Linked DNA regions of Daphnia pulex. The protein of the gene in region 1 purifies or fractionates together with the protein of each later gene. This does not show direct contact. Links are inferred from orthologs where the notes say so. Each region holds a gene or a part of one and is shown in the gene's direction. Other genes may lie near its edges.

Region 1 (5,120 bases):
TGGGGCTGCTCATCACCAACTCGCCAACGAAGAAGCAAAATAGAAAATTTTAGTTGTAATAAAAAACAAAAATTACATTGTTTATTTTTATTATTAGAACGTTGACAGCATTACGTCCACCTTTCATTTAACTGCCGATCGAGTAGCGAAAAATGATCCAACGTCATTTATATGGACTGAAGGAATGACACTAATTGTACCAAGACCTGAGGAAGAAAATCGTTTATTCGCTTTCATCGGTCCATTTCAACCTATGGTGAGCTATCTGCCTATTTCCTTTGATCACTTTTTCTTCCAATTGCGCTACTTACGTTTTTTTTATGATTTCAGGTTTGGTTGCTGATTTTCATCAGCATTTTCCCTGTCATTGGCGCGATGACTTTTTTTACGTGGTTCTACCAACATCTTCATTGGAATAACGATGCCGCCAAGAACAACAATTCCATTCGATGGTTTACAACTATCCCTAGTTCCCACATGATTTACGTGATTAATACCCTGACGAATCAAGGTAAACGATTTTTTGCGATTATTTCAACTTAAATGTTTTGCCGCTAGTACTCTGCCGCTAATTTTCTTAACTTTAATAGGGGGTAGAGAAGCATTTAATCGCTTCTCATTTCGGGTCCTGACTGGAGTTTGGGTTTTGTGCGCTATGGTTTTGGTCAATTGTTACACTGGAATCGTCACATCTTCACTCACAACGCCAAAGATGAAACCGACCATAAACTCATTTGAAGACTTGGCCGCAAGCGAAGAAGTTGGTATAGTTCTGCGAAGTGATACGACGATCGGAAATCAGATCCTGGTGAGGTCATTTCTCCTTTATTTTCTAAATCAAATCCTCATAAGCTGTTCCTGGATTCACTAGAAGGCGACATCCGGTATTTATAAGGTTCTTGGGGATGAAGCCCGACGTAATCCTAATCAAATAGTTGACAATCCTTTCAAGTTGACCGCAACACTGGAAACTGGACGCTACGCTTATCCTTATGTAAGTGTATAAAGACAGAGATTAACATGATCAATTTTTGAACTTTTCTGTTTCATTAGCTGCACTCTTTATGCTATGCCTTTGTCTGTTCTCAATATGAGAAAGACGGGATGTGTCGCTTTAAATTATCGAAACTTTTGCCCGTTTCCATTGGATTTACGTCTTTGTTTTTTAAAAAAGGAAGTTTGTTTACTAAAGATATGGACAAAGGGTATGTAACCATTTTAAACACCCTAAATTTTTACATCTTGATTTTTTATTTATTTATTTCAATCCTAATATATTTACAGACTTATGGAACTGTGGGAGAGTGGACTTGTCCGTTTATGGATTAATAATATTCATTCTACTCCCAAGGCGAAACAGTGTTTTGCCGATACGAAACGTGGAGTCACCCGCGTAGTCCCCATTCAACTGTCGGACTTAATTAGCGCTTTCTTTATCCTTGCTATCGGTATTGGATTGGCGACGCTGAGTTTCTTACTGGAAATAATCCTATCAACATTACGTCGAGAGAGGCTTTAGTTAATTTAAGCATTTATTGCAGCAGGTATGTGCTGCACTACATCAATAGGGCACGTTGTGTAGTTTCTAATAATAGTCTTTTCGTCTAATAATATCCTCTTTTATATATTTATATATACGTCTTAAACAACCTTTACCGAATTTTAATCCGTTTTTACTTCTCCTCCTGGGGCATGCGAACGTTTTTAGCTTAGTCTTGTAACTCCTGATACGAATTAACTAACTAGCAGTTGATTTGCTAGAATACACATTTGTTTAAAAGTTTGATTGTCTCAAGAAATTTTATTGGTTGCTACAGTGACTAAAAGAGGCAAATTTAATGCTGCCCAACGGTAGGTCGGTAGGTAATGAGGAAAGACAGGATAAAGTTTATTACACGTGAAGCTCAAGTTATCGTCGTAATTCAGTAATTGTAATGGAAATAATTTTGAAATCGTAATAAAAGGCCTAGCTTCTAAGATATGACAACGAAAATCACTTGATTGCAATCCTGAAAAATTTGGTTGGTATGAATTTGGTTCATGCGTTGGTTTTTATCAGAGAAAAAGAAAATGAGGAAGAAAAGGCTCAATTTCAAATTTTGGCGGTAATTTTTTCTCAAAGGTTTAGAATTTCAACACTAGATGTCGTTTGCGTAAAGCTTTTTATCAAACATTTGCTGTCGTCTGCCTAGTTGCGTGACATTTTTTATCGGGTTAACTAACTTTGTTATTGAATAAACGGTGAGACAACAATCTACCTTCAAGTAAGAAGCCGAATCACAGCACGTTATACGTTTACTGATTTAATTGTCCCAACAGAAAATGAACTCTGACGATGAAGACAGAGACAGCAGTAACAGAGATACTTCATCGATGTCGGACGAAGATTCTGATACCGACATAGCCACAGTTCTTACCCAGCTCATCAGGAGGTTAGTTAGTTATCCCTTCATGATAGTAGAGTGGCTTGCAGATCATCTTAATATTCAACAATTCTTTCCCTTTCTGGGAAACCACAGTGGCCGAGCTCACATTCTTTCAGAAAGAAACTCAGTATTTGAAGAAAGAAACGAGTCTTTCTTTGATTTCCTTCCAAATGCCCAACCACCCCCTGTTGACAGCACACCTGATTTAACTGTTCTTGAGGTAAAATGAGTTTGTTTAGACATAACAAGAAGGTACCTCTTTTTAATACCAGTTTTTCTCTAGGGGACTGATTTGTACTTATCAACATCTCTATCATCAGGAATCTACAAGCACGGTTGCAAATCCCATTCCACTCGTGTGACATCACTACTGTACCAGCGTCAAGTAGGGATGAAGGGTACAGGGCATTTTTCTGGTGGAGACAGGAGCTATATTGGCCACAACTATTTGCCTAACAAATTCAAACAAGTTGCCAACTGCAATCACAAAATGTTTTGCGGGACATATTCTAAAGATGGCAATATTTTCCTCAGCGCTTCACAAGGTATTACAATTGACTTTGTGTTGCGCAAGAAAAGATTTAATCTTTGCTTTTCTTCAAATTCATAGATCGAGTTATCCGTGTGTTTGACACATCAAAAGGCGGATTTGATTGCATAAGGAAAATCCCCGCCCGAGATGTCGGATGGAGTATTCTAGACACAGCGTTCAGTCCTGATGGACGTTCCATCATTTATTCTAGTTGGTCGGAAGCCAGTAAGTACCTTGAAACATAATTCGACTTAGTAAAAATGTTGTTAATGCGTTTGGTTCCATTTTCAGTCCACCTTTGTAACATTTACGATGAGGTGGAAAGACATGAAGTTCTCCCACTTTCCCCGGAACTCCGACGGTTTTGTATTTTCAGCCTTACTTTTTCTCAAGACGGAAATGAAGTATTGGGTGGTGCCAATGACGGCTGTTTGTACATTTACGATTGCGAAAAACGACAGAGAACGCTCAGGGTAAAATTACTATTTTGTTTCGTACCCACCAACAGTCCTTAATTAACCTCCCATCTTGTTTAGATTGATGCCCACGAAGAGGACGTGAATACTGTGGCCTATGCTGACGAAACTTCGCAGATCCTATTTTCTGGAGCGGATGATGGATTATGCAAAGTTTGGGATCGTCGAACGTTGGCGGAAAACGGAGAGGCTAAACCGGTGGGCATTCTTGGTGGCCATGTTGACGGACTTACGTTCGTCGACTCGCGTGGAGATGGCAGACATTTGATTACAAATAGCAAGGACCAATCCATCAAGCTGTAATCTCAATACTTGTTTTATCTATCGTAAAAAAAAAAACATTTAAAAAATGTGCGATTAATTAGATGGGACATGCGCAAATTCTCAGGAAACGAAGTTCAACAAAAGACTAGAATGCTTATGAACGCCCAAAGTTGGGATTATAGTTTCCAAAACGTTCCGTGGAGGCGTAAGTTAACTTTTTGTTATTGTTTATGTTTAAAATCTCAACTGAATTATTATTCTTTGGCAGTGGCTTCTCCCAAAAACAAGATCGCCGGTGATACTAGTTTGATGACATACCGCGGACACAGTGTCTTAAGAACTTTAATCCGATGCCGTTTCAGTCCAGCATTTAGCACTGGGCAACGATATATTTACAGTGGTTGTGCAGCTGGAAAAATTTTCAGTGAGACCCCAATAACCTAGTATTATCAATCTAAACCAATTTAATTTTTAAATATTTGCAATTTTAGTTTATGATGTCCTGACTGGAAAGCCTGCAGCGATTCTGACTGGTCATTCTGAATGTGTTCGGGACGTCTCTTGGCATCCATACTCCATGGATATTATCGATTCAGCGGTATGAAATATTATTTCTAATTTTTCTCTATGAATTCCCAAAGTTTAATCAACCGGGGTAATAGTGGGACGGCCGACACTTCAAGTGGTTCCATTCCTCAGCCGATTCCGAGGACGAAATGGATTTGGACACGGAAGAGTACATTACCGACAGCGAATCCAACGATTCCAATCCTAATTGGATGCAGAGGCAGCGCCGCTCATATCGAGATGACGACGCGGCTGATGGCGGAGGTGATCGCGAAGTGCGTAGGAGTCCACGACTGGCCGCTCGAGCAACTCCACAGACGGCCCGGAGAACGTCACAGAGGCAGCGACAAGCAGCCAGCCGCCGCCCTCTTTCATAAGTCTTGTCCGCACCATATATCCTTTAATACAACACACTTGTTTCGAAACACTTCATAACTACAAAAAAAAAACGCAACGCAGTCATTTGTTTCAATTCTGTGTACAGTTATTGGTGTTACCTTTAACTGAAGCAGGCGTGGTGCGCTCAATTCACGCGCTTCTATCGATACGTTAACCTTCCCTCTTTTATTTTACTTTTTTGTGATAGATGATCAACTTCCTCCCGGGTACGATGCATCTAGTTGTGCTGGATAATTTGATGCGTGTGAAACTCTCAAGTAAATGAGAGTGGAAATTTCCAAGAACAATTCTTCTTGTTATTTGTATAATTATTTTTTTTTTTTCATTTTTTTCTCCTGGGTCTTTTATATGTTTATAAAAAAAGGTCTACGTGTACTACTTTTGGGAAGACGGAAATACAGGGCTAAATTCTACGCCAATACGGATTTCTACTCAGCAGAGATTTACAATAACTGC
Region 2 (4,232 bases), on another chromosome or scaffold:
GAGTTCTTGAAGGATCCCAGCAAGTTCGTTGCTGCCGCCGCTGCTGCTGCTCCTGCTGCTTCCGCCGCCCCGGCCGCCGCTGCTGCTGCTGCTCCCAAGAAGGAGGAAAAGAAAGAAGAATCCGAAGAAGAGGATGATGATATGGGTTTCGGTCTCTTCGACTAGACGCTCTTGTCAGATTTTGATCCAGTTCTGTTTACAGTTGATGAAATGTTATTACATGGTGAGCTTTGACTCATGTACCGCGGATACTTTTATGAACTGTAATAAACTGACGATTAACGGAATGATTCGTGCTTAACTTATTCTTTTGATATCCCAGTTTGTCTTGAACGATTCTTTCATTAATAAGGTTCAAGTTTCCTCTGCATTAATTGACATAATTTCTTGAAGCGGGTACGCGGCGTTTGGGTGGATGTAATAAATGAAAAGTAATTCGGACGCATACTCAATTGCACTTTGCATTAATTTATTCAAACCGCAAAATATAAGAATTTACAATATGTATTAAATATCTCATTCAATGTTATCATGAATTTTAACAACATCGGGCTCTTCTTCCAACTTACTATAGAGCTTAGAAACTAATGCTAAGTCTTCTTCGGATTCAATCTGAACTCTATTTCGTGGGATATAGAGCAAGTCAGATTCTATTATGCAATAGCCAAGCTGACTAACAGATCTCTTGACATTCAAAAAATCCCTTGGGCTGCATGTGAAGACAAACTTGCCATCTTCATCAGCTAGAAATTACCACAGAATTTCGGATAATTGCATAATGTATATATTTCACTTGAATGATACCTGTTACATCTTCCGCCCCGACGTTAATAGCATCGTCAAGTACTTGCTCAATAGTTTGGCCAATAGATAATGGTGACACCTTGATTAATCCTTGATGGTTAAACAGATTGTTTGAAACTCCTTCTGCCCATGATGCACTGACAAGAAAGGATTATTATTACTTATAAGTCAATTCATACACTACATTTACCAGTAATTTTAAACTTACTTGAATTTCCTGTTGATTGTATTGATGCCTTGTCTTGCTTTCAAATAACTAGGAGTGAGAACTTCTACCACGAAAAAGGTTCCCACTGGTCCTCTTACTTCCATAACATAAGGTTTTAAATCCTCAGTAGACTGATCAGCATTCTTTAGAATATGTTTCAACTTTTCAGAGGGCACATTATGATGCCTTGCTTGATCTACAAGATGACTAAGTTTTATATTTTGTTTTGGATCTGCCGAGCCATGTTCTGCAACAAAGAATTGTATGTTAATGCTAAACTTTGTTTCAACCAAAAATTAATACTCAGTATACAAACCTTTAATAGCTGCCTGATTGTTGTGATTGAAATTCAAGAAAATGTTATAGTTACACTAATAATGAGAACACAAATTCAAAATACCCTAATTTGACGAAAAATTCTTAGATGTAAAGTTGCTCTTTCAGCATCCTTTGCACCCTTCACATGTTTGATGTTGGCCCATTTACTATGCCCAGCCATGTTTCTTGAGAGCGGAATCAAAATACCCAAACGAATCTTTTGAAACATGATAAATTATTGTTAATATTTTTTGAATTATTATAAAAAGAAAACAAAATGCAGTTCCGGTAAATATCTTTTCGTCTGCTGTTTTAGTCTCGCTACAACGTCGACTGCTACGCTTTCAACTTCTTCTTTTCAAACGCAGATCACTTCCTGATATTCGATTTTCTTGAATAAAACAATGGAGACTGAAGAGAATAATCAGAATGTTAACCATGTAATGGCTTCATCGGGGGCGACAGGAAGTATATCAGTTTTATTGCATCCCTTGGTTGTGATGAATATATCTGAACATTGGACTCGAGTGAGAGCCCAGGAAGGGAAAGCACAGCAAGGTAATGTTTATGTGATGTACATTTTAACTCTTTATTTATTTTGTATACACAATTTCATAGTGATTGGTGCACTCATTGGAAAGCAGAAAGGAAGAAGCCTAGAAATCATGAATTCCTTTGAACTGGTTTTCACTGTTATTGAGAATGTGGTAATTGACCGAGATTACTACAACACAAAAGAGGAGCAATGTATGAAATTTCCCATTCTTTACTTATTAAATGTTCTTCATAATTTCTTTTTATCTTTAGTCAAGCAAGTGTTTAGTGATATGGATTTCCTTGGCTGGTATACCACTGGAGATGCTCCCAATGAATCTGACATTCATGTCCACAAACAAATATGTGAGATTAACGAAAGTCCTGTAATTTTGAAGCTTAATCCTTTTACACGAAATGCTGACCTCCCTGTAACAATGTATGAATCTGTAATTGATCTTGTCAATGGAGAGGCAACTATGCTCTTTGTTGAATTGACTTATACTTTGGCCACAGAAGAGGCAGAAAGAATTGGAGTTGATCATGTTGCTAGAATGGCTTCTGGTGATTCAGCTGAAAGTTCTCAAGGTAATTTTAATTCATTAACATTATCCTTATGAAACTGTCATGGACATACTTTTCTTTTTTAAACAGTGGCGGAACAATTGCAAGCCCAACACAACGCAGTAAAAATGCTTGCCAACCGAGTGCGATTGATATTAGAATACATTCGAGCCATGGAGAGAGGAGAGGTTCCAAAGTCTCACGAAGTCTTACGCGAAGCTAAATCTCTGACCCACAGGTTACCTGTCCTCAACTCTGAAATTTTCCAGGAGGAATATTACACCGTAATTATATCTTAACTCTTTGTTAATTGGGTTGATTTTTCTAATCTTGTTTTCTTTTGTCTTGTAGCAATACAATGATGTCTTGCTGCAAACCTATTTGGCATCCATTACCAAAGCATGTCACGACCTTCACCAGTTTGTCACCAAATTCAACATACTTTGCGACCGTCAAGGCATAATGGGTCGCCGAATGCGTGGTCTCTTTTTCTGAATTGTGAGCATTGTATAACATATTTAAGGAAACATGCTTTGTGCCCTACCTAATACATATTGGTTTTGATCAAGATTCCCATTTCAGCTACATTTCCATCCAAGGTGTGTATTGAAAATGTCAGCTTAATCATGGCAGTGTAATATCAAGTCCATATGGATTATTTTTCTTAAGTTTATTGGCCTCGTAATTTAAGGCGTCCTTTGTTAATACAGAGTGTTAGTATGAGATTAGCAGTCTGTTGGATTTGACAAATCCGGCAAATCCGATACACTGGAGATTAGCTTACATCGAAACTATGGGTCCTAGCCAAGATGTTGGTTATTTAAAGATTTACTCGACTTAACAATATCGTTCGTTGTTTGGCAGTTTTTTTGTAATTTTTAAAATTATTTAATGAATTCGTGATCCAATATAACTTAAATTAATTGTAGTTGAGCTCACAGAAAAAAGGAAATTTTGGCATCTAAAATTATTTGATTCAGATTCCAATCTTTTTTTCCAATTCATTTTGACAACACTGGAAAAATGTGTTATAATATTATGCCAAAATGTGTAGGTACAGATTTACAACGCCGATCATAATCGCAACGACATCTTTATTTAACAGCTTTTCAGTAAGCTTCTGGTTTTTTTGGCTATTCTGGTTGAATTTTCCTATTTGGCAGCAGCCTTTTTCGACAGTGTAATCACAACATTGCAGAAAAAGGTAAAAAAATAAAAGATCATGGCTCTAGTTTAATCAACTAAATTCATCAGCATCCGTTTGTGAAACCAATTTAATTTGTAGCCCGTCATTGAAGCATAGATTCAAATGAGAAATGTGTGTTAACTCCGTGAGCTGCTGCAGACGAGGACCGACGAAAGTGGGAGGAAGCTCTTATTGCCGCCATCATGTGGGGCTGCACAGAGTATAGAAATGGTAGAGAATAAAAGGAAAGCTGGATGAAACGAAGAAAATGAAAGAAAGAAAAAGAGCCTGTGGGCGGTTTAAAATAGAGAAGGAAGGAGGGGGGGGGGGGAAGGGAAGGGCTTGAATGTCGAGGGGACCTGGTGGTGGAGCGCCATCAGAGTTCCGTGGAATCCCAAGGAGTAAAGACGCACATATCAACAAGCTTTTTCTTTTCTTTTTCGCTACGTTTTTCAACCGTGTTGTGTGTGTGTATGGATATTTTTCGTGTGCATTGAATTTTTTTACTTATTTGCTAGTTGGAGTTTTGCTTCAAGTGTTGGCACCCTCAGGCGATCGTTTTTAGTGTGTCGTCTGTTTTTTTCGAGTCCACACAAGTTCATCACCGGCAATTTTCGT

The links.
Region 2: the proteins of DDB1- and CUL4-associated factor 11-like (region 1) and COP9 signalosome complex subunit 6-like purify together in Homo sapiens (affinity purification with mass spectrometry; 6 studies listed by BioGRID and IntAct, counting the BioPlex papers as one, with this or other methods). This does not show direct contact. The link is inferred for Daphnia pulex from reciprocal best matches to the Homo sapiens genes DCAF11 and COPS6.

What each region holds. Positions count from the first base shown.
Region 1 is NC_060025.1:8,378,868-8,383,987, forward strand, and holds DDB1- and CUL4-associated factor 11-like, read left to right. Parts: upstream 1-2,156; 5' UTR 2,157-2,264; intron 2,265-2,319; 5' UTR 2,320-2,322; coding exon 2,323-2,646; intron 2,647-2,709; coding exon 2,710-2,971; intron 2,972-3,036; coding exon 3,037-3,183; intron 3,184-3,249; coding exon 3,250-3,431; intron 3,432-3,494; coding exon 3,495-3,733; intron 3,734-3,799; coding exon 3,800-3,903; intron 3,904-3,966; coding exon 3,967-4,122; intron 4,123-4,189; coding exon 4,190-4,296; intron 4,297-4,360; coding exon 4,361-4,642; 3' UTR 4,643-5,083; downstream 5,084-5,120. Other genes in the region: glutamate [NMDA] receptor subunit 1-like, read left to right, coding at 98-256, 331-511, 591-808, 872-994, 1,054-1,205, 1,285-1,519. UniProt on the Homo sapiens protein: May function as a substrate receptor for CUL4-DDB1 E3 ubiquitin-protein ligase complex.
Region 2 is NC_060019.1:12,303,525-12,307,756, forward strand, and holds COP9 signalosome complex subunit 6-like, read left to right. Parts: upstream 1-1,646; 5' UTR 1,647-1,734; coding exon 1,735-1,888; intron 1,889-1,948; coding exon 1,949-2,077; intron 2,078-2,137; coding exon 2,138-2,452; intron 2,453-2,518; coding exon 2,519-2,712; intron 2,713-2,779; coding exon 2,780-2,923; 3' UTR 2,924-2,998; downstream 2,999-4,232. Other genes in the region: 60S acidic ribosomal protein P0-like, read left to right, coding at 1-165; probable transcriptional regulatory protein FMG_0893, read right to left, coding at 517-743, 805-941, 1,013-1,259, 1,329-1,341, 1,413-1,559. UniProt on the Homo sapiens protein: Component of the COP9 signalosome complex (CSN), a complex involved in various cellular and developmental processes.